3 linked regions of the Struthio camelus genome follow. The protein of the gene in region 3 interacts with the protein of the main gene of each other region in a pairwise test. Links are inferred from orthologs where the notes say so. Each region holds a gene or a part of one and is shown on either strand. Other genes may lie near its edges. The genes, in order: ZYX, CDC42EP2 and CASS4.

Region 1 (10,146 bases), on a different chromosome or scaffold from region 3:
GATTTCATGCTTGCCAGATACCTGATTTAAAGTTTGTGCTTTTGTCATTGGAAATTAAGCTCAGCTACCTTCCCTTTGTTAGTTCTGATTCCTCCAGAAAGAAAATAAGAATCTCCCTTACACTAAGAACCTTCCTTCATGCAACCCCTTCCTTGCTTGGAAGGGTGGACATTTTTCTGCTGCACACTGATGTTAGCGCCTTGTTATGTATACCGTTGCAGTAAATCTAATCAATTGAAGCAAAATATGAGTACTGAGTAGGAGCTTAGCTGTCTGGGTACAGGGGTCGATCAGCAGGTATGCTCAGCTTGCTGTGCCAGAGGACACATATTTGACTCTCATTTCTAGAATTAGCAGTTCTCTGGATGATTCACTTTGGCCACCCCATGCCATGGATAATATGATCTGATATTTTGGAGTGTATTATGGTGTGAATGCTACTCCGCTCCATAGCTACAGGGTGGTATGACTACAAAGCCCACTACAAAGCAGATGTTGAAAGGATTTAGAACATCTAAAGTTCTAGCTGGGTGCTTCTTTGAGATTGGTGGCAAGAAGCAAGCCCCAGTGTCAGCCATCAAACCAAATCTGGCAAATTCTGAGAGTCCTAGGAACCTTAAAGAGACAGATTTTTCATGTAAACAGATATAAAGAATCTTAAGTGGCAGTTCAGTCATGTGGTACAATGAGTAAATAAAGACTAATGCAATACAGAACTGATATGGCAAATACATGTGTTGCACTGAGATGAAGAGTATGCTAACAGTGATTAGGTGGCTACAAAATGAAAATGAGAATAGAGGTAAGAGAAGAAAAAAATAAGTCCCTGAATGCAAAAGGAAGGATTCCAGGTATGCTAATAGGGAATTAAACTTTTAGGGCATAAAATCTTACCTAGATTCAGCAACTACGTTTCAAGAGGGTTCGGGTAGCTGTGGATGGGAATCTTTGTGATGATAATAGGTTCGAGGTCAGAAGAAAGCAACATGGACGCTGGACAGGATGCTTTTGTTATGTTAATAATATAAAATGTCTGAATCTGTACAGTTTTCATCTATATCAATGGATATAGTAATACTACTTTATCTCAGTCTTAACTAGGTAACAATTAGTAGTGCTACTTAGCAGTCCATATATTTTTCCTATCCTTTTGCCCAACAAAAAGTCCTGTCTCACATCTGTGTTGCATCTCGGATACTTTTTTGATCATGTAACTTCTGTTTAGTCTAACTACATTTTATTGATTTATGCTAAGCTGCTACTCATACGCTTATCCTGTGCTATATTATCATATCTAAATACTATATCTGGGCCTACTGCAAGAGTTAGGAATATATAATGGGTCTGCTCTGGTCCTCAGGCCAAGAGGTACAGAGAAGATCAGGCCCATGCTGCACCTGCATGGGGTCAGGCAAGCAGCTACTACATAGGTATCATCACGCTGCAAAAACAGTCTGCCTTGATGTGCAGGAAAGGGAGGAGGCACTTACCAGACCTCATTCTCCTCACTGAAAGGAGGTGTCAGGGTGCAGTGATTCAGTTCCATGCTGGATGCATGTTGAGTGCTGGATGCCATAGAGTCAAATGCAGAGGCCCACACTGGAGACCACAGAGCCCCCAGTCCTTCTGACCCTCATCATGCTCATGTATCTGTAAAAATGGCATGCAGTTAAGAATGTTATTTGCAAAGATCATGAATTCTCCTAGAGAGGTCTCTGAACAACCGACTGGGTTCAGTCCCACTTCTGTCCCATTGGCTCCTGTCCCCAAGGGTCCATGCTGCCTCTGTCCATGTCTCAGCAGGATGGCGGGCCTGCATTTCCATGGCTCCTGGGAGTGCTCATTGGAGGCCTTCATCTCTCTCTCACAGTGTTCTCCCTCCTGCTCACTGCTGCAGGGCTCTGGGCCTGAGAGACTAAGAAAGCAAGGAGGCTGTTCCAGTGGATATCTCTTCCCCACAGCTGGAGTATGAGCTGTTCTGTGACTCCAGAAAACTGAGAATGGTCAGCCAAGGACTGGAGAAAGCAGTGGGACGCAGCTGAATTGGGACAAGGCTGGTATGTGTATGGCTGGGTATGGATGCCTATCAGAGGCAATTATGCTTGGAAAGCATTGATACACTTGTCATATCCACAACCTTATGCCCCATGCCTTGCCTCCAGTAAGACAAGTTGTGACATGTTTAGTTGTTATGCACAAATATTGTCTGCCAGAGCTGTCCGTCAAAGAAACAGACCTGGGAGCCTGCCAGGCATGCCCTTGTACCTGGGCATGGTACAAGACTCTTTCTAAGTGCCATGTTTTTGTGGCAGAAGTCTCCTGTCTGCTCATTGGTATGGAGTGTATTCTCCTAAGCACGGCACAAATATGCTATGCTCCTTCCTTCAAATAAGTGTAATCAAAGATATGTACTCACCAGAGCTGGGTGCACAGCTAGTTGCATGCTAGGGGATTTAGTATGTGTGTGTGTGGGAGGATGTCATCCTTGAAAAAGGGTTCCTCCCCCAGATCCAGTCAGCAAAAAGCAGGCTCTCAACTCCCCTGGGTCTCATTCTGAGCTTCCTCCTGCTCATACAAAGGGAGAAGTTCTGTGGTGGCCTCCCAGAGAAGCATCTGGTGCAACTCAGTATTGCAGGGAGAGAGGTGCTGAGCTACAGCCAAACAATAGGCAGTCTCAACAACGTTACCTTGGCATAGTATCTTGATCTCTCCAGTCTCCGTGTGGCCCCTTTCTACCAGAGTGTCATTATTTTCTTGCTGCAGAAGAAGCCCCACAGCTAAATAAGGAGGGGTGGCTTTGCAGACTGCTAATCTTCTCTTTTTGTAGCAGACTAACAAAGATGTGCAATGCATGTGCCAGGGCATGGCATGAAAGCATATTGGACTTGTGAGAACACTAGGAGTACATAAGAAGATTGTTCTGGGCAGGAAGAATGAAACTTGGTGTAGTCCTATAGAGGTGTGGACCTTGAAGTGAACTACCCTCTCTTTTGAGCCTCACCAAAATAAATAGTTGGTTTAGTCCAGACTGAAGTCCTGACACAAACTAAAATGTGCATAGTATAGATGATGAAAGGACCAAGGCCTTGGAGCAAAACAAGAAACAAACAATATAGGCACCCGGTCTGACAGTCTGCTTGCCGAAAATATTAAGAAAAACACTATCTACAAACTGCACAATAAAACACAGTTTCAGCACAACTTTAAGTGGTGCAGTTCCTCAAGGCCTTGCTTTGCAAAAGCAGGAACTATGGAGCTGTATGGAGTTTTCTGCAGTTGCCAGGCTTGGTACATGTGGCTACTAGTATGTTTGCAGATTAATTTACTGCCAATATGAGTAAGAGGATGATTACAGACGAGACACAAATCTTGGACTGTTTCCTGGGGCTGGGGGTGTAATTATCAGGGCCTTGCAAGGGAGTACCAGCTTTCAGTACCAGCTACAGGTCTGTGACAAGTGACAATGTATGGGAGAGAGCTGTCCTTCAAGCTATTATGATTTTCAGTAGGTTGAAAACATAACGATGTGAAAGGCCTTACAGAAGATGTTTGCTAAGTTAATTCTAGCAACGTGATCAAGCGCTGTATGAGAGCTACTGGCTGGGGAGAATAGGAGAGTAGTAGCTACAGGCCACCAATTCTCAGCACTTTGTAGATAGTCTGTGTAATATTGAGAGCTCAGTAGCCACAGCTGCCGTTTAAAATGCAGGAGAGGTCTTCAAAAAGTGGTTTATCTCATACTACAAAGTCTTTGACAGTTTGCCCATTTGGTTCTCCAAAGATGTGCTGAGGTGACAGAGGCATAGCCTAATTTCTGGATTGGTATTTTACCCCAATGAGAAGGGATTTCCTTCTATTAAACCTGAACCATCGCTGCTTGTCACCGCTATCAGTGGTAGATGGCCTGGACAAGGACTTGAGGCATAGCATTAAACAACTGAGCTATTGATGTGCATTTCTGGAGAGGCACTTCCTTCAACCAGGGCATTTTCCAATTGTCTTGATGAAGGTCAACAGGATGACCATATCTCCTAGGTAACCTGGCACACCTCCTGACCCTTTGCTTCCATGGCTCATGAAACAAGTTATTTGGTATCTTTACTTACCCTTATCCAAAACACTTCAGTTACCAGGTAAGCAGCTTTAGGTATGCATTTGGCTGGCTGAAATCTACATGGAGATCATCAGTTGTCAGGCTTCCTATGGAAATGTACTTCTTCCCTTGGATTCTTGAGTCCCAAGTGATGTCTGCAACAGCCCTGGCTGAAAGTTGGGAACAGCAGGCAGTGAAAAATGCCTGTGAAACTGTGCCAGTGGGATCTCATCAGGTTTCTGATGAAAACAGGGTGGGCCATGTTATGAGAGAAGCCCTATCAAACCATTTTCTGCAGAGTGACTGATGGTTCCAGAGACAGCATTACACTTACTGCTGCCAAAATAAATAAATGGGGTATTTACAAAGCTATTTGTAAATAACTGGGCCTCCCACCAACAGCTTTCTTCCCAACACTTTCACACCTGGTGTTCAACCTCATAAAAAGAGTTGCTGGGACCTACCAGCAATAATCCTTTTGCTTCCTGCTTGTCTGCCTTTATGGCCATGGTCTCTAAAACAGTGTCCTCCCAATCTTGCCCATCAAGCCTCTATCTTAAAAATATAAAACAAAAAATGAGATTTGATAGAAAAGAAAGTATATACTTGTATGGAAAACAGGCTTTTAAAGCAAAACAGTAAAGATTGTAGATTTGTGCGAGGGTATGGTAAATTTAAAACAGTGCAAGAGCCATCCATATATGATATCCACACAATGTATAGGTAGGCACTGGATGATGACAGCCTTCTCAGATGGAACATCCTGAAAGCAAAGAAGCCTCCTTGGTCAGCTCCAGTTGTCCACTTGCTTTGGGAAGGGGAACACTGAACAGCCTGCATTTCTCCATTGCAGTAAGAGATACAGTAAATTGTAAGGGATAAGAGATAATAAGAGATACCAATAACAAAGAACAAGAACTTCTTTGTTCAGACTTCATTTTAAGCTTTTGGGTATTTTAAAAAATGTTTTATTAAGATTTGTGTAACTCCAAAACCGTGTCGCAAACAATTATGTATAATCTGAGAGCTTCCAGTCCCCATCCCCTACATACCAAAGAGAGAGAGTGAGAAGATGACAACTGATATTTTGTAAGGCTAAAAATATTGTGCCTTTTACATAACACTGAGAATTTAAAAAGCACATTTGCTGCTTCAAGACTATTTTTAAAAATGCAGTTTGAGCAACACCACTAGTACAGATTCAACTGACATTTAGAAGTAGCTGATGTTTCACTGTTTGGGAATCAGATATTCAGTAGGGAATGAAGCATATGTAATAAAAAGCCAAATAGGATTCAGAGCCTACCAAAAATATTGGCACCCTAATATACAGCTCATGTTTATGCTGTTGGTGGTGTCTGTTTTCCAAGTGCATGCCACCTCCGCCTTTTGACTCTCCAACTCCTCAGACATTCCCTCTAAGTACTAACTACTAGATGGCGAGGAACCTGTGCCTTCTCAGTTTTCCTACCACAGATTCACCTAGTTCCCTCTCTTATGTTCCCGGACTTCCCTATCCCTTTTTCTCATTTCCTGGCATCTGCTGAGCCCTTCCCAGCAGGGTGGGGGTGGAAAACAGTCCTTTTTCTTTGAGCTCACTCATCTCCCCATTGAATGCATCACTTGCAAAGCTCCAGGCCATGGCAAGAGAAACCAGAATTTCACAGCATGGCCCTGCCTACCTCCAGTCTCAGTTCCATGCGAGTATGCACATAGCTGCTTTCAGAGACAAGGTATGTACATACAAGGAGGCAGAATAGATTTATGGAAGAGACCCGCCAGAACGATGTTGAGTGGGTGAAGTCTGCAGCAAATGAAGCAGGCTAGACTTACTAATTCTGTAATACCAAACTGTAGTTCCACAGAGCAATGGTTCCTCCTGCCCAACTGAAAGGCGATACATGATCACTTGCAGTAGGTCAGTGTGTTACACATGCATCACCGAAATGCTAACTGAACAGACTGCATCATCCTAGTTCCAGATGGTGAATTCTTTTGTGAATCTTCTGTGAAGTCTAGAAATGGGAACTGTATGAAAGATGAGATCTAATGTTGTATATATAGAGCAGAACCTCACACTTCTACATGACTCTAGATCAAAATCAGACATGGATGAAGATGTTGGGAGAGTAATACATTTATTAAAAAGCTACAACGCAGCAGTGTTGTTCTGACAGCAAAGAAAGCTATAAATCTTGTAGAAAAACTAATAGAAGGCAAATATCAAGGTAAGGTGAGAAAATTAACACCACCAATGTGAAATTAAGTTGAGAAGCTAAAAGTGGTGAACACTGAATATTGAACATTTATACAGATGTGTACCAACATGCCAAACCTGTGTTTTTCAAAGAAAGCTGATTGTTCTTTCAGGGAGCACTACCAAATTAGATCACACAACCAGGATCTTGCAGCAGAGCAGGTGTGGGAGTGCTGTCTGTTGTTACATTACAGCTAGCCCACTAATTGCCTGCTCTTCATGTGTTGGGATGCCATACCTTTCCACTGTGGACATTTTTTTAATTTTATAAATAAATACCTTTTTAAAAAAATTAAACCTGGGTTGAAATAAGTGTAATTTTAAGGTAACTGGCTAACACTGAAGTATTTCATCCCTCTGAGTAAGTTTGTCCTTAATTTGGGACATCCCAGCAGTGCTCAGTTGTCAATAGATAATTCCAAGATATCCAAAAGGTGTGTCTCTACTTTGGCAGAATAAGCCACTCCGAGAACTCCTCATGCAGAGGAAGAGGAAAGATAATCTTTTGGTGACCACCATTAGTTCCCTTCAGTAATATGCGGGAAAATGCTATTGAGCACCATGAGGATTTTCTGACAAATACTCTTCCTGAGAGGGTAGGTTGACTAGTTTTGTCTCAGCATCACACGAATGCACTCTCATACAGTTTTTTTATGAACTCTAGGTGCAGGCAGAACAAGATCACATCTGCTTGGATGCGAGTGTAGGTAAGCATGAGCTCACTCATACTCCCAGTGTGTAATGCAAACATATCCTATGCCTGTACCTCTACCTCTTGTCCCTTCTAATCTTCAGTTGATTTATACAGCCTGAAATATTTTCGCAACTTAAGAGGATCCAGTCTTCCACTTATGTCAGACAGGTTACAACCTTTTCAGGTTCTGAACTACACTGATGATGCTTTTTTGATTCTTTGAATCTCATAAAAAGCCTTTCTGTTTCTCTTCTGCACCAAAGGAGCTCTGAACAAGAAAGAATGGTATGAGTCATTTTGCTATCTCATTTCCTCTTCAGTCCACATGAAAATTCTATCAGTAGCTAATACAGCTTGATGCAGAATTAACTCTTGTGGCTTCTACTCCATTACTTCTATGAAGCAATTATAGAGAGCTCTGCCAGCAGAAACATTTACTGGGGAATCTATATTGCCAGTGGCAGAAGGCCAGCAGAGAAGCATACTGGAGCAACAGTCCCTGGAGGGTGATTCCTGCCTCTATAGATCTGATATAGATATTATTTTTGCAAATATCTTCTACACATGAAGCTAGTAGGCCTCTGTATATTTTCCATTGCTGAAGATGCATCTTGCAAGAAACATGGCCAAAGTTTCTCTATATCTTTCTCTGATAGTAGTTGGTCAGGCCACAGAGCTTTAAATAAGGATTTTAGAAAGGATCAGAGAAGGAAAAGAAAGTGAACAATCATTTTTCAGAGCCTTTTCATGGCTCATGGATACACATGGTTGCTAGTTAGGCCTTTGGGGATGGGAAATGGGAACTAATATTAGGATGAATGATAGACAGTAGGATGACATTTTAAATTGGCAATTTTTAGCTAAAAGTGGAACATTAGGTGGCAAGATATATGTTTGTAAATTTTTTTCTTTTTAAGTGGTTTGAAGGGCAGCTAATGGAAAAGGTAAAGCATATATCACTTACTGAGATACAATCTATGTCCCTAATAATTAACTGATGAAATGAATAAAATTACTAAGCAGGTAGGGATGGTGACAATAGCTTTGTATTTTATAAGTAGTGTTTCTCAGGAAGAAGCTGTTCCAGCGTTTATAAGATTTTTATATTATATTTATAATACATCTGGAAATATATATTTAGTAGATGTGATTCATCATTGTTTTCTAGAAAAGATAAATAATGCTGAGCAGGCAGCTCTTAAAAAGCAAACAAACAAACAGCTATCAATTTATAGCATAGGTCTGTGTTAAGGGTTATGTTGGAAGCACCTCAGTGTGGATTTGGAACAAATTGTTAAAAAACAGAGCTTGTTGAAACTGCTTTGCTCTCTGCTATTGCTGACCCCTCTCCTGGGCATGAGGCCACTATCTTTAGCTTTGCTGGAAGTATGTCTTCCTCCCCACCATCCCTGCTCTGACCTAGGATCACACTCTGCCTGTGTGCAGGAAGGGGAGGATGAGACCGCTGGAGGGGACAATCCCTATCAGTTCCCCACTCCACAACTCACCTCAGCATTCATCCCTCAAGCCAGGTAGTGCTCACTGAGGAGCACATGCTTATCTAGGTTACTATGACATCTCAGTCAGTGTCACTGTTGCATTCATGGTGTAAGGTGCAGGAAGCAGGGAGAAAAGGTCCAAAGGAGTTTTAAGTCGCTCTTCCACCAGTTGAATTCTTGACCTTGCTGGAATAAGTTAGAGCAGCCCTGAAGCTCTGCTCTGCAAACAAGAAGTTGCTAAGGGCAGCGATGTAAGGACTCGTGACAGCTAGAGCAGACGGGTTTGTCCTTCTTGCCTGCCCAGCATGCCTCTCCTAACAGGGTTTGCGGAGGGGGAGCTCTACAGCCGAGCATTAACAGAGGGGCACAGAATTTTGCCCATCATACAAATCATGTAGGAGGTTGCAAGTGGCTATTTCTATCGCTCCCCTCCCTCTCAGATACCCAAATCTGTAAAGAATAGATCTGCATTTCCTCTCCCTGTCTCCTAATCCTGGGTGAAAACTGACATTTACAAAAATCTTTCAGAGCAGCCTTTAAGTCAGCACTGTGCAATATATATTTTGTACACACTTTCCTACATGAAATTACAGCTTTGATGTTTAAGAAAGTAATTGCAATGCTTATGGAAAATATTCAGAACTTGTCAAAAAGTGTATTTCAAAGTAAAATAAAACAATTTATTTGTTGTCATTCACTTCCTGTGCCTTGCAGCAGAAATAATGCTGCTCAGGGAAAGCAAGGACAGACACTGTGGAGGGACAGTTAGCTTTAGGCTCTGTTCTCATCCTTTGTTCAAAGATTCAGTCCTGTTACCCACTTTGTACAGGATAATACTCAGGAAATCAGATTGCCCTGTGTGGGGAACATGCCATTGAAGGATATTAGCAGACGTGGCTGGAATCCGGTAGAATTCTATCTTGCTACATTTGGTAGCAAACCCAGAATCCTGCTGGCAACCATTTTGATTTGATCGTCATCGGACTCAACAGTTGGAAGGAACAACAAAAATGTCTCTCACACACAGCGTATGACTGTTGTAGGCCCTTGTCTTACGGTGGTATATGTTAAAAGTCTGTACTTAAGAACAATTAACACTCATATTTGATACCTGAGATGCCGCTGTATTTCTTCAGAATGTAAAATCACTACTTGTTTATGCTACTCTATGATACTATATTTTAACTGAATTCAGGAAGTAAGTTAGGTATTAGCTTACTAAAAAGTAGAAACTGTACACTCATAGTGAGTTACCTACAAACCTACTGTATGGAAGAACCAACCAGCTGTTTCAGAAATACTCATCATCTAATCGAATCTTCTGAACTTCTAATGGAATGAAATTTATTTTTAAAATGTAGATTCATGTGCATAAGGTCCGTAATGAATAAATGTACCAGTAAGAACCAAAAGACAGTTACGAGTCTATCCTTTGATTAAACTGATGATGTTAAAAAATAGCTGACAAAGCGAGGCTGCAGATATCAAGCCAGCGTACAAGATTCTTCCAGCAACTGGATGATACTGATTCCAAATAAAAAAGAAGAGAGCTTGTGCATCAAGACACGTGAAACATCTATGAAGTGGGGTAATAGTTCTATGG
Region 2 (9,548 bases), on a different chromosome or scaffold from region 3:
GAGGTCGGAAACCTGCTGCTCAGAGAAGCAGAATAACCCGATAAGTTATTTCCGATAACTTATTTCCAATAACCCCATAACTTATTTCTGCTGACTTATTTCCGTGTGTTCTCGTAGCGCCCGCTCCGCGTGAGGCCCCTCTGGCGCCGAACGCCGCGCTTTGGGCCGTACCCCGTTCGTCTCTACGGATCGGCGGGTGACAACTCGCCGGGCCGCCGTTCCTCAGCATTCGATGGGAGGTACCCGAGTTAAAAATCCTGTTTAAAAACACCCCGATACGGTTAACGTACGACAAAATTCCAGGTGTCCTGGGAGAGCTCCCTGTGAAATAGGATTCCTGGCAGGCTGCACAGAGAGAAAGAGGGAGAAAGAAGGGGAGGGGGAAAAAAAACAAAAAAAGGAGTAGTAGATGCTTTGTTGCGGAAAAAGTGCTCCGGGGGTCAGGAGCAGGGTGACGCAGGCCATCTGGCCCTGGGTGGGGAACTGGGCTAGTTCCAGCTCATCGAACACTCCCTTTCCTTTTGGGGAGGGAAATAGAGTTTTTTGGGTTTTCCTCCCCTCGCAAAGCTCCCTCCCTGCATATAAAAATTCCTTTGCGAGTCAAACCCCGCCCTGGCTGCGATCCCCCTTTATGCAGGGATTGCGGGAAGGGCGCCATGCCCCCGAAATTGAGGTGGAGACCCCCGAAACGGATGCAGGGAGAGGGACGGCTGCCTTCCGCCACCAGCTCCCTACGGATAAAACACCTTGGGCGCTTATCTCCCCGGAAATTTATTTCCGGGTAGAGGTTATTGCCTCGCAGAGAGAGCCCGGGAGCGCAGAACACCACGGCTCTCATGCCTCGCTCGATAGCCTCGGGCACGTCGCTACAAACAGCTCCGTGCCTCAGTTTCCCCCGTCTTTAAAACGAGGACAACACCGTCCCTGCTGCCGCGGCAGATGGGGTCAGCCAGCTCCTGAGTCAGCAGCTGAGCGAGACGCTGCACAAACACGATTTGCCAGGCGGCCTTTCGCGAGCGCGGGGAGGGAAGGAGGACGCGCCAGGTTCGCGTGGGTATTCAGACCTCCGGCGCTGGTCCTGCGCTCGCCGGACGGCGTTTCGGCGCTCGCGTCCCTCCACGGGCCCGTCCTGGAGCTCTTGCTGCGCTACCGGTGTCACTTGTGACTATTCAAATGGAAAAATCACTCCAAAAAAAAAAAACAAAACCCAAATCGTTCTCCTTTTCTGCTTGCGTGGTGCCAAAAGTATTCGCACCCTCCTCACAGTCCGATCGGGAGCTTTTTGAGCACGCAAAACTCCGAGGAAGGTGAAAGTCAGAGGGTCGCGTGTCATCAAAACTACCCCGCGAAACCACGCGGGCCGTCCCCTGTCTGGGGGCGCGATCAGCTCACCCAAAATCGCTCCCGACAGGCATCGGCCCAACCTGCTCCGAACCTCCCCGAGGAGATGCCCCAACCCCTCTGGGCAACCTGTTCCACCGCTAATCTACTTTCCCCCCCCTTTTTCAGGGAAATTTGGGCCCAGTGAATCTGTTTTCGCAGCAGCGCGAGTTCCCAGGGGTTTCGTCCCAGCTGTGGAGGAACGGCTTCACGATTCGACTGCGATTTAAAGGCAGAGTTTCAACGGACCCGAAGCGGGACTCGTCCTGCCAACCCGGCAGATACAGAGACTGGATTACTTCTTCCCTCTTTGCAGCCCTCAGCTTCCCTGCTCCAGGCAGCGGCAACACCAAACGCTCCAAAAGCGGATCCGAGGCCCCCAAAATAGAGGCCAGTTAATCTGCTTCCCACGTTGGGTTTCATCGCCGTCTCTAATAATTCAGAGATCAACTCGAGCCCTAAAGCGTGAGGTCTAGCGTCTCACCACGCGTTTCGGGGAGCGCTCATTGCAACAGCTCCGCGGCACCCGCCCCCTTTTCCCAGCTTGTGTTAAGATTAGCTCGTTTAGCTAATTTCCCACGGCCGCACCCGGCGTAAAGCTTGTTTCCTTTTGATCCGGTTGCAGGGACTTACGCTTCATCACGCGGCACAGAGGGCCGCCGCTCCTGAACTTTCTCAGGCTCTCACCGATGGACAGAGCAGCAAGTTTTCAACCCTGAACCCTGGCAGCTCCACAGACTATTTATAAAGGGTCCACAAAAAGGTAATTAAGGCTTAAATTCATTATATAGGGGCGCACAGGTCTGGTGAAAAACACTCCAGGGTCCAGAAATCAAGTGAGCAAGGACAAGAGTTAATGACTGCCACAGAAAACGAAGCCGGTAACTCCTATCTATCTTCCTAGCAAACGTTTCCGAATATCCGCTCAACCCAATGGCCTCTTTCCTGTGCTCTGGCAGCCCATTTGAACAGGGCACTGGGTGTATTCCCCCAGGGTGGTGCCCTATCAGCTTCATTTATTAGTCAGCTTCGTTATTTAGGTACCTTCAAGGGGGAGGTAACAGCTTGAATTAGATCAGCTGAGAGAGCTGGGGGGAGGATAGTCACCTGGGTAAAATGCAGCTATTTCTGGGGGAAAACCTTGTGTAAAAGCAGACCTAAAAGAGGAGCGCAAAAGACTTGCGCCAGGAGATGCACAAGCAAAAAAACAAAAACAAAATTTGGGAAGAGATTCCTCATTCGAGGCTCTTTCCAGCAGCCGCTAGAAGGCTGCATGTGTCGCAGATCCTCTTCTGGGGGGGAGAAAAAAAAGTTTCACCTTTGCAGCACAAAAGAGGGATGTTTGCTGGGGAGGTGAACGCGCATCCCCTTGCTGAGCTGGAGGCACGATGGGATGGGGAATACGGGTCTTCCAGAGCAGCGGGAAAAACCCTGGCGGATGCGTTTTGGGGTGGGGGGGCTGCTGCGACCCTGGCCCGCGTCGCCCAGCGCCGCCCTCACGGAAACCCGCAGGGAAGAATTGGTCTCTTCTGGTTGTTGCAGGACGTGGCCCAAGCGGGCATCTCCCGCGCGCAGCAGCCCGTTCCCTGGCAGCCGAAAACACGCCGCGACGTAGCTGAGGAGACTCGCCGGGCTCGGCCGCGTCCGGGCGGAGAAACATCCGCCGGCGGTTTGGGGCGCGGATCGACTCGGGCGAGGCCGCCTCGCACCCCAGCTCCGCGCCTCGGTTTCCCCCCTTCGCCGGGCAACCCCACCTTTGAGCGGACGGGGAGCTTCATTGCATTCCCTGCCCCGATTCCCGCTGGAGCGGCTACGGGCTGAAATCCTTCCCTGGAAAAACTACGGGAACAGCTCGAACCCAGCAACAACCACCCAAGCCGACGCGTGAGCCGAGCCCTTCCCCGGGCGGCGGGGGCGAGAGCCGGGAATTCCCCGGTGGGACGCGGGAGCTTTTAATCGCCTGCTCCGAGTTTCTTTTCATCTTCCTCGGAAGCAGATGGATCTGGGTGGGAGCAGGGCACAGGTCGTTCCGATATCCCTGTATCGGAGCCAAAGTCCCGACACCGGATATCTTCGGCGCCTTCCCAGCTATGCTGACACAGCCGCGGATTTAAAACCTGCCAGGGCCCTCCGCGCTTTTACGCCGCGATCCTTTCCTCCGCCTCGCTCTGGGCAGGGAGGATCCGGCCGCTGGCGTTTCGAGCGCGATATCTATTTCAAGGATCACGAATCAGCTCGTTTTAATCCCGAGCCGGGTAGAAACTTCACAGCTGGTTGCTAAAATTACCAAGCAGCGCACTGAGCATAGCTGGATCGGTAGCAAAAAAAAAGGAGGCAATTGGGTCTTTTTATAGATAACACGTAAGCGATCCCCCCCCCCCCCCCAGATTTAAAATAGGCTGGATTCGATTTCGGCTGCGGTATCGTCTCCAGCGGGCGAGAATTTGCTTCTGCCTCCTCCCTTCTCGGTTGAAAAAAAAAAAAAAAGTGCCCCAGCTCGACTCCGGGCGAGCTGTGCCGATTCCCGAATTCATCCGCTGGGAAAGCAAACGCCACGGAGGGTCTCGGAGCTGGCGGCAAGCAGACGGGATGAGATAAGCGGCACGATGGGATTTCAGGACTGGATTCGTGGGTCGGTGGCGGCAGGGAAGCAGGGGGGAAACATGACAGCAGCGACCGGAGAAACAAAAACTTCCTTCCTAGCGTGGAAAAGCCGCGTCCCTCCCCGGCACACGCGCAGCTTATCTTCCGCATCGCTTCCCCGTTCGGCAGCGCTCCGGGAACGAGCCGCGTTTTGCAAGCCGGGAAACGGAGGCGCCGCACGGAGTCAGGAAGAGAGACAGGAGACGGGAAGGGAAACGGGCCGGTACCGCAGCAGGCCTTCCCGGCGGGGACGGGAGCATCGCTCTGCGGGCGACGGAGGTGGGATGCTTCAGGAGCCGGGATGCCCCAGGGGCTTCGCCGTAGGGAAACGCCACTCTGGCGTGCGTCCCCCTCCCGCCACCCCCGCAACCAGAAAACCGAAACCTCCGCCAAGGCGCCGGCCTCCCCGGTACTCACCGCCGCCACCGAGCCGCCACCTTCGTCTTCCTCCCGTCTTTTGCGATCTCGCGCACCCGACTGCGATGAGCCGCATCCAGCCGGCGCTCTGTTCCCTCCCTCGCCGCCCCGGCCAATGCTGGAGCGACGGCGCTGGCCGGCCCCGAGCCCTGGCAAGCCCCACCCCGGGCCCAGCGCGCCGCCTCGGCTCCCCGCTTCTCCCGGTGCCGACGTTTGCTCTCAACGGAGCCTCGGCCGCCGCCAACGGAACGAGAACGGTAGCGTTTTTCCAGCCTTTCTGACTGCCCGGCAGCAAAACAGCAGCGTTTCGCAGGAGCCCGTCGCCACGGCTTTTCCCCATCGGATGCTGCCGGCGGGAGGACTCGCAAGACGGCGGCGGTGGGGGGGGATTAAGCGCAAAACGGGATAAAAAGCTGCGTCCACTCCAGCCGCTAAGGGAGGATTCCCTACGGAGCGAACGTGGATGGAGCGGCATTACTCATCCATCCAAAATAATCCCTGGGAATTCCCACCGATTCGACCCCCCCCCCGGTTTCCCAGCTAACAGAATTAAGTTTCGGCTCGGGGACGTGGCGCTGGAAAGAGCCCGGCTGTTTCGTTCTGCCGCCGCGAGCTCACGGACGGAGGGGTGGAACTAAACGTCAGCCCGGTTTGAGTTCGGAGTCAGGCCTGAAAGGACGCGGCCGAGTTAAAACGCTCCCGGCCGGATCCCCCGCTCGTTAAAATTGCAGATTAGCCTCCTCAAGAGGAGCTGGTGGCGTGTGATTAAGAGGCAAGAGACACTCCGGGCAGGACACCGGATCGCAACAGCCGACGCCGGGTGCTTCGTTCACCTCAGATCCCCCCCCGGCGAAAAGCCCCGAGTTCCCCCTTGACGTGGCACCCTTCGCCCCAGCTCGCGCGTTTTAGCTAAAAACACCCTTTTTGTGAGGGAAACTGAGGCCAAGCCCAGCCCAAACCTGGCTCCGGAACATGCGCAGGCTGGTTAAACGCATATAGAGTTGTCCGTGGCGGAGCTGAAGCGTCGCTAGAAAGGGCCGAAAGCGGCTGTTAGCTCTGTTTTGTCTTTATTTTTTCCCCCACCCTCTGACGTGTTTTAAAATACAGTCTCACACTTTGAGCGGCGACCAACAACCCTTCGGGGAAGGACTCGGGTATCGGGCAGAGGCGACGCTGCCCTCGCGGTGCTCCGAGTTTTAAGGACGCTGCGGAGGCTGGAGCTAGCGCTCATTAGGACGGCAAGCCCATTAGGCGGAAAAATTAGCGAGGGAAGACCAAGCACGCGGTTTCCCTCGCTCGGCACCGACTGACGAGGTTTCTTTTCCGGTTTCCCACAGCCTGTAATCGCCACGGCAGCCGAAGGCAGGAGACCAGCGAGCGAGACGGCCGCCTGTGCAACCCCTCGCTGGTGTAAGGCGTCGTGAATATCCAGGCGAAAAAAAAAAGGGAGGAGGGAAAAAAAATTTAAAAAGCACTTTCTGCACCCAAATTCCCCAGCGCCGGCGGGCACCCAGCTCCGCGCCGTTGGCGTTCAGTTTTGGGGGGAAAGAACGCAAATCCAGGGGGCTAATCGGGTCAACTCCCCCCCGCAAAGCGCCGAAACCCACAGATTAATTGCGTTAGGGCATTGCGGTTTTTTTTTCTTTTTATACGCAAAATTCAAAGTGCATTTTATTTGCTTCCCTGAAGGAACAGCCCAGCTTGGCAGCAGGTGACGCCAAGGGAGGCTCCTGCCACGCTCGGGCCAACTCCAGCACCCACCTGGCGTTTGGTTGTTTCCTTTTGCAGGTGCCAAAATACACAAAAAAAGCAGCCCGAAAGCAGCAGTCCTGAGGCTACGCGGAGGGAGAGGGCCAAAGAGATCGGCTTCGTCCCGTCTCCCGCCGTCGTTCCGCCCAGCGGAGGCTTAAATTTTGACAACTTGGGCGGCAACGCAAGGGCTCTTCCGCTCCCCCTCCGCGTCGTGCCGCCGCACGTACAGGCGCCCGTAGGTCCCGCCGACCTGCCCCTTCGTCAGGCGGCCGGGATTGATGCACACGCAGCCCAGGACGTCCTGCGGAGAAAGAGCCGGCGCGTTAAAACCGATCCCAGCTTACGTCCAAGGAGAATTTCCCAGGGGGAATTTCGGCACGGGAGAGCGGACAAAGCCCGCTCCGCTTTACCTTGACGAAGTACCTCAGCTCCGAGGGGGCGACGAGGACGTCCGGCGTGACGGGCAGGGCCGCGTAGCTGTAGAAGTTCTCGTAGTCCACGTTCATCTCCTCCGCGGGCGGGTAGAGCGGGTAATAACTGCCGGAGAGAGCAGAGAGAGGTTGTCCGCGCTTCCGCGTCCTCCGGCATCGCGAGAGCGCCGACGCCTCCTCACGGCGGAGGAAGCCGGCTGGGCGTTAAACCGGATTCAGTTTTGGTGTTAGAACATAGCTTTTGGGTCAAATTTACATCAGCGTACAGCTGCCGCTCTTTTACAGTCTGTTCAAGGGGAACAAGCGGGAGCTCGGAGCTAATCTGGAGAGCCATAAAACCACCGGATCGTTCCGGAGTGGGCAGTTATTCCTATTCCTTTTACCCCGTCCTCAGGCATCTGCTACCGGCCGTTCTCGGGACACCGGCCTGGAAAATCCGACCCAGTTGCGTCCTGCGGGACGGCGCAGGCCGGTCTGGAAGACGTACGGCATTAAGCACCCCCAAATCGCGCATCTAGAGGGTTATCGAATTCAAAAAGGAGCATTTTGACTTGAAAAACGTCACCCTAAGCGGGGCGGGAGGGACGGCAGCGCGCCATTTCAGTTGTTTTGCCCTTTTTCGGCAGGGCTAGGCGACAATCCAGGAACTCGCCTCACCTCCTCTGCGTCAGGACGTGCTTGAGGATCCGCGTGAACCTGTCCGAGATGCCCGAGGAGCTGTAAGAGACCGAAAACAAGCTATAAAAGGAGTCGGGGCGGGGGGGGGGGGAATAAAAGGTAGCGCTTAAGCTCGTTTGTGAGGTCACTGTTGACATGCTGCGCCGCTCAATTAGCCAGCGGGCCTGATTAGCGACGCAGGCAAGCGGCTAACGAAGCGTTTTGTTCTGCCCAGCACCGCGGGCTCGGGCCAGCTCTTCCTCCGAGCCCCGCAAACGGAGCGCGACGCGCCAGGAGAAAAACAGCCCGAGCAGAGAAACGCCGGTGGCATTTTGTTCGCCAAGGCGGGATGCCAGAGAGGCAAAACGGAGCGAAACGACCCCGGAGGGAGCGGCTGAGGCTTCTCTCCGCAGGAGCGGCTAAAACCCGGCGAGTCTGGGTCTGGGTTCGGCAGCTCCCGCCGCGAAAACGTGGCAAGGGACCGCTGCCGCCTCCGGGCGCCCACCTGCTGATCTCCTCGGCCCCCATGTGGAAGAGCAGGTCGGTGGAGGTCAAGCCGAAGACGGTGCCGTTGATTTCCAGGGTGCAGGGGTCCGAGACGAAGTGGACGCGCTGAAACGAGAAGGGGGACGCGATGGGTTTTTCCGGCAAGGGCGCCGCCGGCATCTCCGAATCCGTCTAAACCCGAGGGACGGGCTGGGGAGTCGCCCGACGCCACGACAGCGGCGTGGAAGCTCCTCGGTCAGAAACGCGTTAAATTAGGAAAAAGAGGGTTAGGAGACGCGTAGGGCTGGGCTCTACAAATCCGCCTCAAACGATGCGTTTTTCCTGGCAAAACCATCTTGATATCTTTTACGGCATTCCTTATTTCCCCGCGTCTCGGGGAGCCCCACGACCTCACGAGCGGGACACAGGGGCAGGAGCAGCCAGGACATCCGTTCCCAGCTCCTCCTCCTGGTCAGAGGAGGTTTCCCTGGCGCTCTCGCTTTCTCACCCGCGAGCGAGTAGAAATAAAGTGAATCGCAGCTGGATTCTCCCGGGAAGCCTGAGCTCCGCTGATTTTTGCTCCTCAGGGAGCTCCCAAGCGGATCCTGCCAGCGAGAACCGCTGCCGGTCCTTTCCGGACGGGTCCGCTCTACAGGCCGAGGGCAAACCCGCAAGAAAGACGCCGCTTTTCGCCCCAAACGAGCGACCAAAACCCGTTATCCCGTTTCGCTCGAGGACGGGTTTGATTTCGAGGACGTTACCGGCTTGTCCTCCTTCGGCAGCTCGGGGTAGGCGAAGGGCGGCTGCGGGTACACGTAGTCGTGGTGAACGTCCCGCAGCGACGGCACGAAGACGAGCTGAGAGCCGGCGCTGCCGGGAAGAGAGCGACCCGTTACGGGGGAGAAAACGGGAGCCGAAGCCACGCAGGTCGCCCGCTCCCGCTTCAGCTTTTAAGGCATCGAAACGCGGCGGGCGCCCGCTCCGGGTGGACGAGCTGCGGCCGGGCGGCCTCAGAAAGCCCCGCGTCGGGGGCACAGGCTCTGGGAGGATCAAAATCCCCCTCGAGCCCCCAAAATCCCCTTATCTCCTTTTCCCACCCAAGCTGCGAAGCCGGCAGCAGAGCTACCCCACACCCGAGGCTCGGACCGCGCCGTGTTTTCGGAGCACTTTTTACACCAGATTCGGCCACAAAAAGGGCTCCGGTTTCCCAGAGATCGCAATTCCTTCTCACTTCTCAGCGGAGATGTTTACAAGCAACGGAGCCACGAATCCGGCCTCAAAAGCCGAATCCTGGGGTGCGAGGCCTCGTTTTCGCCTAACGAGAGGGCGAGCGGAGCGCCTCGGCGCGAGGCACGGAAAGCTCAAGCCAGTCGGCTGATTTAAACGTCAATTCGGCTGAATGAAAAGGAGAAATTCTACAGGAGCCCTCGGGCAGGACGCGGAGGGCCCAGCGCCCCGGAGCGTCCGCGCTCCTAAAATCAGGGCGCCGCGGCGTCGGGCTGCGATGTTTTCCCGAGAGAGAGGCGGGGGCCGCTGCCGGAGTCTGGCAGCGGATGAAAGAGGCTGGCAGCGCGCGGCGCTCGCCCCGGCGGGGAAGAAAGCCTCGTTTGTTCGTTGTTTGCGCCGTTCCTCCCCGCCTCGGTACCGCCGGGAGGGGAGAAGCGCCGCCGCGGAACGACGCGGATCGTTCCCGAGCGCTCTCGGGGCACCGAGGGGAGGGGAAAAAAAAAAAAATTGGGAGTCGAGTATGAATTACAGCTCGTAGTGAGCCAAAACCGCTCC
Region 3 (10,128 bases):
ATTAGTGTGCGTATGGCATTAATTTTTTTTAAGTCATCTCTAGTTGTACTCAAGGGAGGGGAAGGGGGAATAAAATGATCCTTGCAAGAAGGATTAAACTTGTTCTCCTATCTCTAAATCCTGTGAAAGATAATGTGACTGAATCTTGCTCAAACTGGGCAGAATGAGCCAGTTTTGCTCTGCATTGTATCTGTGCAATCCCACTGAGGTCTGTTTAAAGAATGGATTACACAAGTAACAGCAGAACTTGGCAAATACTTTAATGAAGCCTTAAGCTGCCTTCAGTTCTGATTCATGCTTTGTAAAGCTCTATTTTGTATCTTTTTAGTCTGTTTTTTGGTGGGGTTTTTGTTTTTTGTTTTGTTTTTTAATTGGCTAAGTGGACCTTCAATTCTGAGCCAGTCTTGTGCCACAAGAATTTGAAACACAATTTTAAATGGTTTAGATGAATTCCAGAAATGGTGTTCTAGTTCTGATATTAAAGCTCAGACCTGAAATCTTGTCTTTCATTTGAATTTATCTTAACAAGTGCAACTTCAAAGGAAGCTCACGGTATTTTCAAGGAATAGCCACACTGCAACTGTAAAAGGCTGGTGTGGCAGTGCCGCGCCGTGTGAAGATGACAAGAATAGTTTTGCCATAGAGACCTACAGTATCCCCGCAAAGAAATAAATTGTTGCGCGTTTTGATTTTTGTGTATGTACCTCAGCAATGTCATTTCATTTTATTTAGAAATTTTTATTCTGTAGTTGCTCTGTATTCAAGAGCACTTGAATGACATTCTTTTTTTGATTCAAAAATCCAAAACAGTTCTATTTATTTGTAATAGTCCAAGTTTCCCAGACATCATATTCAGCAGATGTACAGATTAAGATCCTCTGTGCTTAAGCCTTCTGTAAATTTGAAAATTCACTACTGCTCACAGATTATCTTGCCTGTGCTAGGCTTCAAATATGTTCTTTCAAGCATTCGGTCTGTGGCTCCAGTGATACAGTACTCCTGGGCTTCACAGTTGGGAGACTTTCTTCGGTCACAAGCTCAGCACTTGCTTTCGTTAGTATTTTCAAATATTAGATTGTTCTTACTGATGAATTAACTTTCCATTGTCACTGATGAAGTATCTTGTCAAGGGCTGAAAAGGGTAAGGTTTTGTCTGTATTTAAATAAAATTACCTTTTAAAAAGTTATTTAATATACAAAGAAGGAATTGTATTAGTTTTCTATATAACAAAAGGCAAGCGAATTAAATATCGGAAGGATCTCTTTTGGGAATGTGTTATAGCTTGATGAGTCGGTCTGTTGCATTGCATGTGAACCTGAAATAACTAGAGTTACGGTTTGGAATGTAAATGTTCTTGTTTTGTTTTTTTCAGGTAGAGAATGCAGTTTAATTTTCTCTTAATTTGTTCTGCACAGCAATAACTTTTCCTTAGAAATCTTCTTCCCTGCCTCCCTCCCTTCCCCTGTTGTTTCCCTGCCCGCCAAATTTTTAGAAGTGTGGGAGAGAAGAGATAGTGGTTTATGTGGCTTTTCTGGTAGAGAAGGAAGGAGAGCAGGGAGAGGCAGGGCTTTGTGGGAGGGAAAAGGGAAGTCCTGCAACACGGTTATTAATGCCTGGTGAATTAGCTCAGTAATCCCAGACCTCTAGTAGAGTCAGCCTGCTAAATTGATAGCAGTGGTAGTTTTTACTAGGCTCCTGCCTTCTTTTCTTCTTTAATTCTGTTAAAGACGCTGCCCATAGGTAACTCATTTGCTACTGTTACCTGGACTTGTTTATTTTTAAAATATAACTTGGAGGTTTATTTATTAAATGACTGCTGTAACTGATAAGATAGCAACCTACTAGCTTTCACCTCGTGCTTTCTTAGGTCTACGGTCTTTTAACTTGTAACATAAAAGTAGAAGCTTGTTCCTTAAAGCAAAAACATACTGAAGTGAACCCTTTTCTTTTCATATTGTGTATCGTGTTGGTTGAGGCCAGGGGCTTCGGTCTGGGGAGGGAATTGTTCAAGGAAATAAAGACAGGAAAATACTTACATGGGATAAGTAAGTTGATAATGCAATCACAGAGTAAAATACTTTCGGAGCGCAAAATCCCGGTGGCGTTATGTGATGCCTGGAGGTGATTGATCTGGGATGAGAATGAGAAGACAAGTTTGCTATATAAAAAGACAGTGTTCAGAGCAAGCATGCTTTGGAAGTACTGTGAAGCGGAGCTACAGCTGCATCTTGAAGAACACACCTAGTCTTTTTGTTAGATCTGCACTTGATTGAAGGGGAACTTGTCTTTCAGTGTACAAATCTGGAGGAATCTACATACATGTTCTTTATGTGATAGATAAGACTTACTGGTCAGAGAGGCTTCACACCTAGAAGCTATATTTGATGCTCTTGGCATGTAGATGGCTACAGGTGTCACCAGTGGTTAGGGAAGAGAGGGATGCAGAAATCTGAGATGAATGGGAGCAAGAAGGGGCTGATGAATGGGAGCAAGAAGGGGCTGCTGTTTTCCTTCTCATATCTTATCTTCCCGACTATAAGGGGACTAGAAGACTGAAGCCATGTATGAAGTCAAGAGAAAGCAGAGTGTACAGTTGTGTGTGTGTGTTTAACCACTTTTGGTGGTTAGTGTCCTTTTTCTCATACTGGATGCTTTTATAAAGGGAAGGCAGAATGAGATGGTATATTTCCAATTCCCACCAGAAGGCCTAAGGTTTGGTGTAGGTTGTTCTTGTTAAGATACCTCTTTCAGGGGGACTTTACTTACTTTGCTTACAGTAGAGAGTTACACTTCTACAATCCTTAGCATGGGTATGATTCCATCTTTAAGCAATACTATTGTAATTGCGTGTTAGCTGCTGCAGAGGAGGAAAAATGAAGTGCGTTTAGCTGCAAGATATTTGTATTGATTGATCAAAATGTAGGTAATTGCAATAATGTGCTTTGCTTTTCACAGTAAGAATAAGAGATTGGCCAAGCTTGTTACCTTGCTCCATAGCTTAGGCAGGTAGTTCAAAAAATACTTCCCATCCTGCCTTTGAACAAACACACTCAGAGGTAAAGTCCAGACAAACTGACCTGCACCTTTTCAGAAACACTATTTGTTGTTACACTATTTGTTGTTACCCTTGTGCTATAAGCATCTATTAAAATAGCCCCTAAAAAAACGAACAAAAACAAACAAAAACCTGCTCCAAAATTTGGATTGGTCTTAGAGTGAGTTTTGGAAAGATCAAACGATGACAACTGTTTCTAGTGCTCTTTCTAGTCTTTGTAGGATAGTACAAGTGTCTGCTGAACTCATCACTGCTGTGAAGCAGCTTTGATAGTGTCTTTGGATCATGGATCTTACTAACAGCCTCAGAACAGCTCTGTTTATCTGAACAAAAACAAGAACAGCCAAACCTTGCAACTACAGTACTGACCTTTCAGGTGGTCTGTATTGGAATTGCTCTTCCTTGAAATACTCTGAGTAGCGTTAAGCAAGCCTCAACCTTTTGGAATAATATAGCTGGTGAAGAGAGCATCTTTGCCACTGACTTCTGTGATAATAGAGAGCAAACCTGGTAAACCTCTTCAGATGAAGCATCTTTTTCTGGATGTTTTAGAAGCGTGTCCTGTTCCCAAATCTGCATTTCCTCCCTGAGCAGTTCAGTGGCATTCTAAAGAGGGTTCCACAAGATAGGGGAGGAAGGGATTCGGGGGTTGTAGGAAAGATTTATCCTGTCACTAATAAATGTTCCTCAGTACTCTTAAGAGAATGAAGAGCGTTATAGGATGGAGCCAGCTGTCTCCTCAAGCTATGAGATGTATGTGTATATTAAATATACTTAGTCGCTAGCCCTGTACCTTTGATTTTCAGATGTTCTGTTGTTATATCCTTCCAGAGTCTTTCTTTTGAGGCCAATAACTTTTCAATTCTACTGTTTTAAGCTCTTTGTTCCTCAAAGCTTAAGGTCAGCTCTGCTTCCCGGTTAAAGAGGAAGCAAATGTGTAAGCAAGCCTTTGTAAAACAGACCTCTTGCCCAAGGCCATCAGCTGTCAAGGGCTTTGAGCATCTGATAAAGACAGTAGTAACCCATTGCCCTTCGAAGAAAGAGTGATCTTCTATTAGGCAACAGCTTTGACTCCCCTGTGAGGGTGCTAGTTGAATGATAAACATCGCTCTTCCATCTTTTTCTTAGTTTTGACACGCCTTCATTTTACAAAGAAACATCTGGCCAGCCATTCAGGTTCTCATCTCTTTAGTCCTTCTGCACTATGGAAGGCAATTGCTGATTAGTAATTGTAGCCACCCAGCTGAGGAAACTAGGAAACAAGGCTTGCTCATGTTCTGATGATGGGCTTTTTCAAGACTTCAAAATGCCTATCTGTTTGCCTTCTTGGACCGCTGGCTTGAAAGTAGACAGAGAAACATCCCCTGGATTTTACCTGTTCTTCGCGCAGGGGTGGTTTGAAATTAGTTTCTACTGATCAAATAAAATTCCAGTGCACCTGCTTGCCCGTCATCAGTTTTGTCATCTGTACCTCTTGGTACCCTAGCAAGCTCCTCCGCTCAGGGAAGCACGTTCGCATTCAGGATTTATTATCTGCTCAGGAACGTTTCCTTAACCTGTCAGATGTATCCATCTAACATGTAAACTCTTCTTGCCACTACTCAGAAGAGACTGTCATGGAAAAGCGTTGAGGTCGTTTGACAGCTAAAGCGTTAGCTCAGCAAACCATGCCTATCTAAAAGCAAAACACCTTTGAGGACAAATCATAATCACGGTTTTGTATCTTTTTGGCCTTTGGGATTCTTTGACACAGTGACTTGACAGCCTTGTAACTGGCACACAGATCTAGGGAAGGTCTTTCCTAAAAGGGCACTTGTGCAATTAGACTTGTTTACCACCAACAGAAAGAAATTTCAAACTTTCTACCTAAGAAGGGTACTGGTCTGGGACATACGTTTTTCTCATTTCCTGGACACAGAGGTCATCTGTCCACCAGAGCTGCCCTGGGATACTGTGAATCCTGATAAAAAAAAATGAAATGCAATAAACCAGGTGATCGTCGTCCAGGTTAGGAAGTTCTGGCATGTGGCTGTGATGGACCCTCCAAGCGAGCTGCACCGCAATTGCTCCACCTAACGAGCATAGTGCTGCAAACTGCATTTACAGCCCACACCTAGTTTGTGTGTGTTTAAGCCTTGATGCAGCTTGAGGGAGTCTTTTGTAGTGAATGCAGCCCCAGATATACAGGGTAAAACGTAAAATTTCTGTCATTTCACAAAGCCCCTTCTTTCCATAACAAAAAATTGTATAGGGTGTTTTAGATGGTGAGACAGCTTTGAAAGACATTAAAAATTTTGCCTTAGAAATCCTGAATTAATATGATTGTGGCAGTCTTATTTCTATCAAGCATTGTGCAGCCTCTTGTGGTACGTAGTATTCCTGCAGTCACTACATTTCTAAAATAGGAAATACAGGAACATGTAGCAAAACAGAAGGGTGAGACTTCTGAGTGTGGTTAATTGCGACAAGTTGGTGACAGAGAGATCAAGGAAGATTCCGCTTGCAGGCAGACTTTCTTCTCAGTGCTAGACACCATTAGGGTTTTTCTGGTTTATTTTCTTTTTAATCTTATCTGTTGTCGCAGAAACTGTCTTTCATGAGAGTCTTTTGTACAACTTCCTAAATGCTTTTAAGGGTATAGCTGTCAGATGTGTTTTCTTGAGAAATAGTTCCTGACACACTGTGACTGTACAAAACTGAGCCCTCTTTACCCAGTAGTAGTAATCTGCATTGCTCAAAGTGACACTGCTGGTGAAAGACAACAATGGACAAAACCAGAAGAATCGACAGAACTGCAAAGGTATGTCTAGTTTTCAAGTACAGCACATAAACGATTAAAAAAAAGTCCTAGTGTAGGTTTGATGTTTTGAATTCAAAATGATGCTTGGTGGTATTGGAAATGTTTGGTATTCTAATCCTGAAGTGGAAGGAAGGTTTGTTAGGATGCTAATGCGCCTGATGTACCTCTGTGCTTTTTGTTGTGACAAAATCGTTAACTACAGGAAATGCCTTTTTGGAAAGGACTCTGAATAAAGTAGGATTCTCAAATAGTAAACACCTGTGAATAAACAAATTTGTGAAATAATAAACATATACTTCCAAGGTTCCATCTGCCTTACTGCCATCCAGTAGTAACATTTGATATGTGATTATATTGTCAGAGACTTACAGCAGTAGTTCAGGTGACCTATTTGCAGAGAACTTTCTTACATAAGAAATCAAACAGTAGAAAGTACTGTTTTGTTTGTTTCAAAAGACTGCAACTGGTTTATAAGTTTTTTGAATTTATTCATTTATTCTTATTGCATCTAATATAATTTCATATACATATATGGATAAATTAACTTGCTGGAGCTGTAAGGGCCAGAGAATGCTGAAGTCTTGTCTCCTAATTCACTGCTTTGTTTCTCCTGCTGTCTGCAAGCTTCGTAAGCAGCGTAATAGAATTATTTTTTTCATCTTGGATTATCATCTCAATATTTACTGTAAATAAACTGCTGGCTGGAAATTTGAAACAAAATATAGTGGAAAAAAGGTTAGTCTCAGCTTGATGAGCCATTTAACATTTTCCACTGAGGTTTGTAAAGATAAGAGGACAATTTTTCATGTTAAGTCAGCAGAAACTGATGGAAAACATTTTTCACCTCTATTCCAGAGAACAGAGTATTTTTTCAGTTTTCTTAAGTGGCTTGCTGACGTTTAAATAAATGTAATGGTAGCAACCTGATCTCCAGTCCTGCTCTGAGATCCTTAGGCACAGCCACAGCACACAGGGGAAATAACAACTGGAAAAGTCAAGTTTCTTTCTGCTATATCATTCATGAGCTGTTTATAAGGTTCCCACTATCCTAGTATCAGTACATTACTGTTTATCGTAATAGCTGAATGCTGTACTTAATACACAAATACTAAGGATGTGTTTTTTTGTAGTATCTGGACTTCTTGAAGCACCGTGTACCAACCATCAGTAGCTTTGCTATGACAAGTAACACTTTGCAATTCTTGCTGTGCTCCAACTGTTCCATCTTTGCAAGATAAATTCTTTCTGAAAATGAATTCAGTGTATGATTGCACCCAGAAAAATGACATTATTTCTTCGTTATTGTGTATGAGCCAGTGACAAAGTCTGCACAGGAAATATTGCATGTCTGGGTGCAATTTAAAGCACGGTTACAGAACATGCGCGGGAAACACTTCTCTTACTGTTTGACTGTGCTGTTACCAAAAGAAAAACAGGAGCATGTCTTAACTACAGATTAAGTTGGTCTGAAATTTGTCTCTTTTTCCCAAATGCCCAGCTTACATATTCTGGTCTTGTCCATGCACAAGTGCATGAACAACAGTCTTTCCACACAGTCTTCCAGTATTCAGCATTGGTAAAGGCTTCTGGTGGACTATTGTGTGAAGTTTGCCACGTCTCCAGAAAAGATACGGACATGTTGGAGGAAGTCAAGATCAGGGCAATGAGAATAGTCAGAGAAATGAAAAACAGGGCTTACAGGGAAAGAGTGAAAGGACTGGGATTTCACAGCCTAGAGAAGAGAAGATTGGAGGGAGTCACAGTGTTCAAACACATAAACAGCTGCTGTAGAATATGAAAGGAGCAGGTTGTTCACTGTGTGACAGGGTAAGAAGAAATAGAATTTAAATTACAGCAAAAGCGATTCAGCTTAGATGACTGGAGAAAGAGCAAGGATAACAATAAGCAGATGCGAGATGTGAGATTTGTTTCTGTGAGCCCTGTCTGCCCTTGGGAATATGTCCGCCTGGAGCTAGTTGACTCAAAATGCCTACAGCTGTGCACCCAGACTCCACCTCAAATACCTGGGAGCAGGGTGTCTCAAAATAGGATTTGCAACAGTTAATGTATTGAGCAAGGAGGTACTTAAATAGCCAACAGGAAATGCTGGAGAGAATAGCGAAGTTTCCGTCTTTCTGGGCCTCAAATATTTAATTTGGGAATATTCCCAGGGAAGTCAGCTGGAAGTGAACTCAGTGCCCATCTTTCCCTGGGGAAATCTGAGAGGTAAAACTTCAGCTCTGTCATGGGCAAAACAGACTTGGCTCAGGGAATTTTTTCTTAATTTCATTTATTGTCAGTTAATACAAACTTACAATTGCTGATTTGGGTATTGAGAAAAAAAGAAAACATAAACAATAAGCAAACACTTAAATAAACACCTTTCCTCTCCCTTGCCCTGGCTCAGCTTAAGGCAAATGCTTCTCCTTCCCCATTCCTAGTCTCAGTTTGCTTTATTTTCACCACGTTACGCTCAGTCCACCCCAATTCCTCCAGGGAGGCGATGGATGGCGCAGGAGGTTGGGATCAGCATGTAATGGTCTGCCACCCTCCTGGGATTCATACTGCTTTTCCTCCCCTCCTTCATGCTTCTTACTGTCGCTGCTCCAGCATGGTTCCTTCATGGGCTGCAGCTTGCTGCTGGTGTCCCCATCCCGTGGAGGGTCACCCGTGGGCCGCAGTCCCTCCAGGGCAATGCATCCCTGAGGCATGGAGCACCTCCTGGCATGAGCGTGTCTCCTGTGAAGCATGTCCTCAACCATCTCTGCCTCCATGTGTCTCTTCCAGCATCTCCCACGTGTCTCCTTGCATGTCTCCTCACATGTCCTCTCCCACTGAGCCTTCCACTCTTTCTTTAATGTGTTTGAGCAGAGATGTCCCATGCTTACTCGCCTGGCTGACGTTCTGGCGCGCGATGGCACCACTGCAGGCCCTTGGTTGCCAAGTCCTGCCACATGTGCCCGGCTCTGTACCTGTGCATGTACTGCTTGGGTGCTCATGCTTGAATTAGTTGGGTGCTCAGCATGAACTAATGGGGCATTCATGCATGCATGCTGGAAGCCCTGCAATTTATACCCAATTCAAGCTCCAAAGACTTTGAGGGTTATACTCTTGGACTAGCTGCCTAAATTTAGGGGGAGTGGTAGGGATTTGGACTGTAGTATTTAGAATTTGGGCTGGTACCTGCTCGCCTTTATCTCCTAGGTGTGCCGAAGGCCAGACGCTCTCCATCTTCTGCGGTGCAATGTCTCTGAGCTATGGCCATGGTGCTTTGATGGGGCTGGCAGTGGGGTCGGGTGGATCCATGGCTGCAAGGACGAGTGCTGCAACCCCGGGTGGCGAGGGGCATTCGCTTCGCCACATTGCAATGCCTAGCTGTCACCAATTTGATGGATCACCCAAAAGCGGTCTTGTGACCGTCTTGTGACCTCTAGTTGCAGCCTTGCTACTTGTATTTCTAGACTGTTACAAATGCTGGTAGCACCTTACAGATTTCAGGGTAGTAAATTAACGGTTGTTCTTTATCCATTGCATGATGTGGAGTGTTCACACTAGTAAAAGTGCTGGCTGTAATCATAAGAAAAAAGAAAACAAACAACATCAGAAGGCATTCAAATGAATTGCCTAGTGCCAGGTAGTTTTCTGCGTTTGGACAAATGTATTAGCTGTTTGTCTGTTCCTAGCCTGTCCAGTTGTGCAGACTTTGTTGAGAAAGCATTTTCAATTCAATATTTTCTATTCAAGATACATTCCTTTTCTGCTTACTTGATTGTGGGTTTGGGAGCATGCCTAATTTCATCCTGAAGCTACTACAGAAAGAGGAAGGAAAACACTGTAGCTAGAGAAAAGGCGGGATGAGTAGGGCAAAACCTGCCAGTGACAGTGTGCAAAAGCAAAGATATTAAAAAGTAAAGAAGCAGTATAATCTGCCCATTTATATAAGCACAACCTTGGCAGAGCTGTTGTTGAGCAGATAGCAACAAAAACAACAATAATATTAAACAATATTATTGTTTGATAGTATTAAACAATTTTTTTTAATTAAATAATTTAAAAACAAAATCCATTACCTGCAGTTAATGTTTAGCTTTCCTCTCAGGTTCTGTGCCTTTAAACTAGGGGAGTCTTTTGCAGTGGTTTATGCAACTACAAAGAAGACCTGTTATTTTCTAGAGAATTTAATATAAAAAGGTCAAAGCATAAGACCAAACCACTTTTAGGGAGGAAAAGTGAGGAGCAAAAAATGATGCCGCAAAGGCTGTGAATATGCCT

The links.
Region 1: the proteins of CASS4 (region 3) and ZYX interact in binary tests that used the Homo sapiens proteins (3 or more experiments, as listed by UniProt). The link is inferred for Struthio camelus from reciprocal best matches to the Homo sapiens genes CASS4 and ZYX.
Region 2: the proteins of CASS4 (region 3) and CDC42EP2 interact in binary tests that used the Homo sapiens proteins (3 or more experiments, as listed by UniProt). The link is inferred for Struthio camelus from reciprocal best matches to the Homo sapiens genes CASS4 and CDC42EP2.

What each region holds. Positions count from the first base shown.
Region 1 is NC_090942.1:90,286,032-90,296,177, reverse strand, and holds the start of ZYX (zyxin), read right to left. Parts: upstream 4,650-10,146; 5' UTR 4,558-4,649; intron 4,264-4,557; 5' UTR 4,107-4,263; intron 2,566-4,106; 5' UTR 2,417-2,565; intron 1,651-2,416; 5' UTR 1,491-1,650; intron 1-1,490. UniProt on the Homo sapiens protein: Adhesion plaque protein. Binds alpha-actinin and the CRP protein. Important for targeting TES and ENA/VASP family members to focal adhesions and for the formation of actin-rich structures.
Region 2 is NC_090976.1:823,648-833,195, reverse strand, and holds the start of CDC42EP2 (cdc42 effector protein 2), read right to left. Parts: upstream 4,641-9,548; 5' UTR 4,441-4,640; intron 3,375-4,440; exon of another isoform or gene 3,135-3,374; intron 1-3,134. Other genes in the region: POLA2 (DNA polymerase alpha subunit B), read right to left, coding at 6,347-6,493, 6,603-6,729, 7,281-7,340, 7,786-7,892, 8,528-8,636. UniProt on the Homo sapiens protein: Probably involved in the organization of the actin cytoskeleton. May act downstream of CDC42 to induce actin filament assembly leading to cell shape changes. Induces pseudopodia formation in fibroblasts in a CDC42-dependent manner.
Region 3 is NC_090959.1:12,405,433-12,415,560, forward strand, and holds the start of CASS4 (cas scaffolding protein family member 4), read left to right. Parts: upstream 1-5,533; 5' UTR 5,534-5,820; coding exon 5,821-5,856; intron 5,857-10,128. UniProt on the Homo sapiens protein: Docking protein that plays a role in tyrosine kinase-based signaling related to cell adhesion and cell spreading. Regulates PTK2/FAK1 activity, focal adhesion integrity, and cell spreading.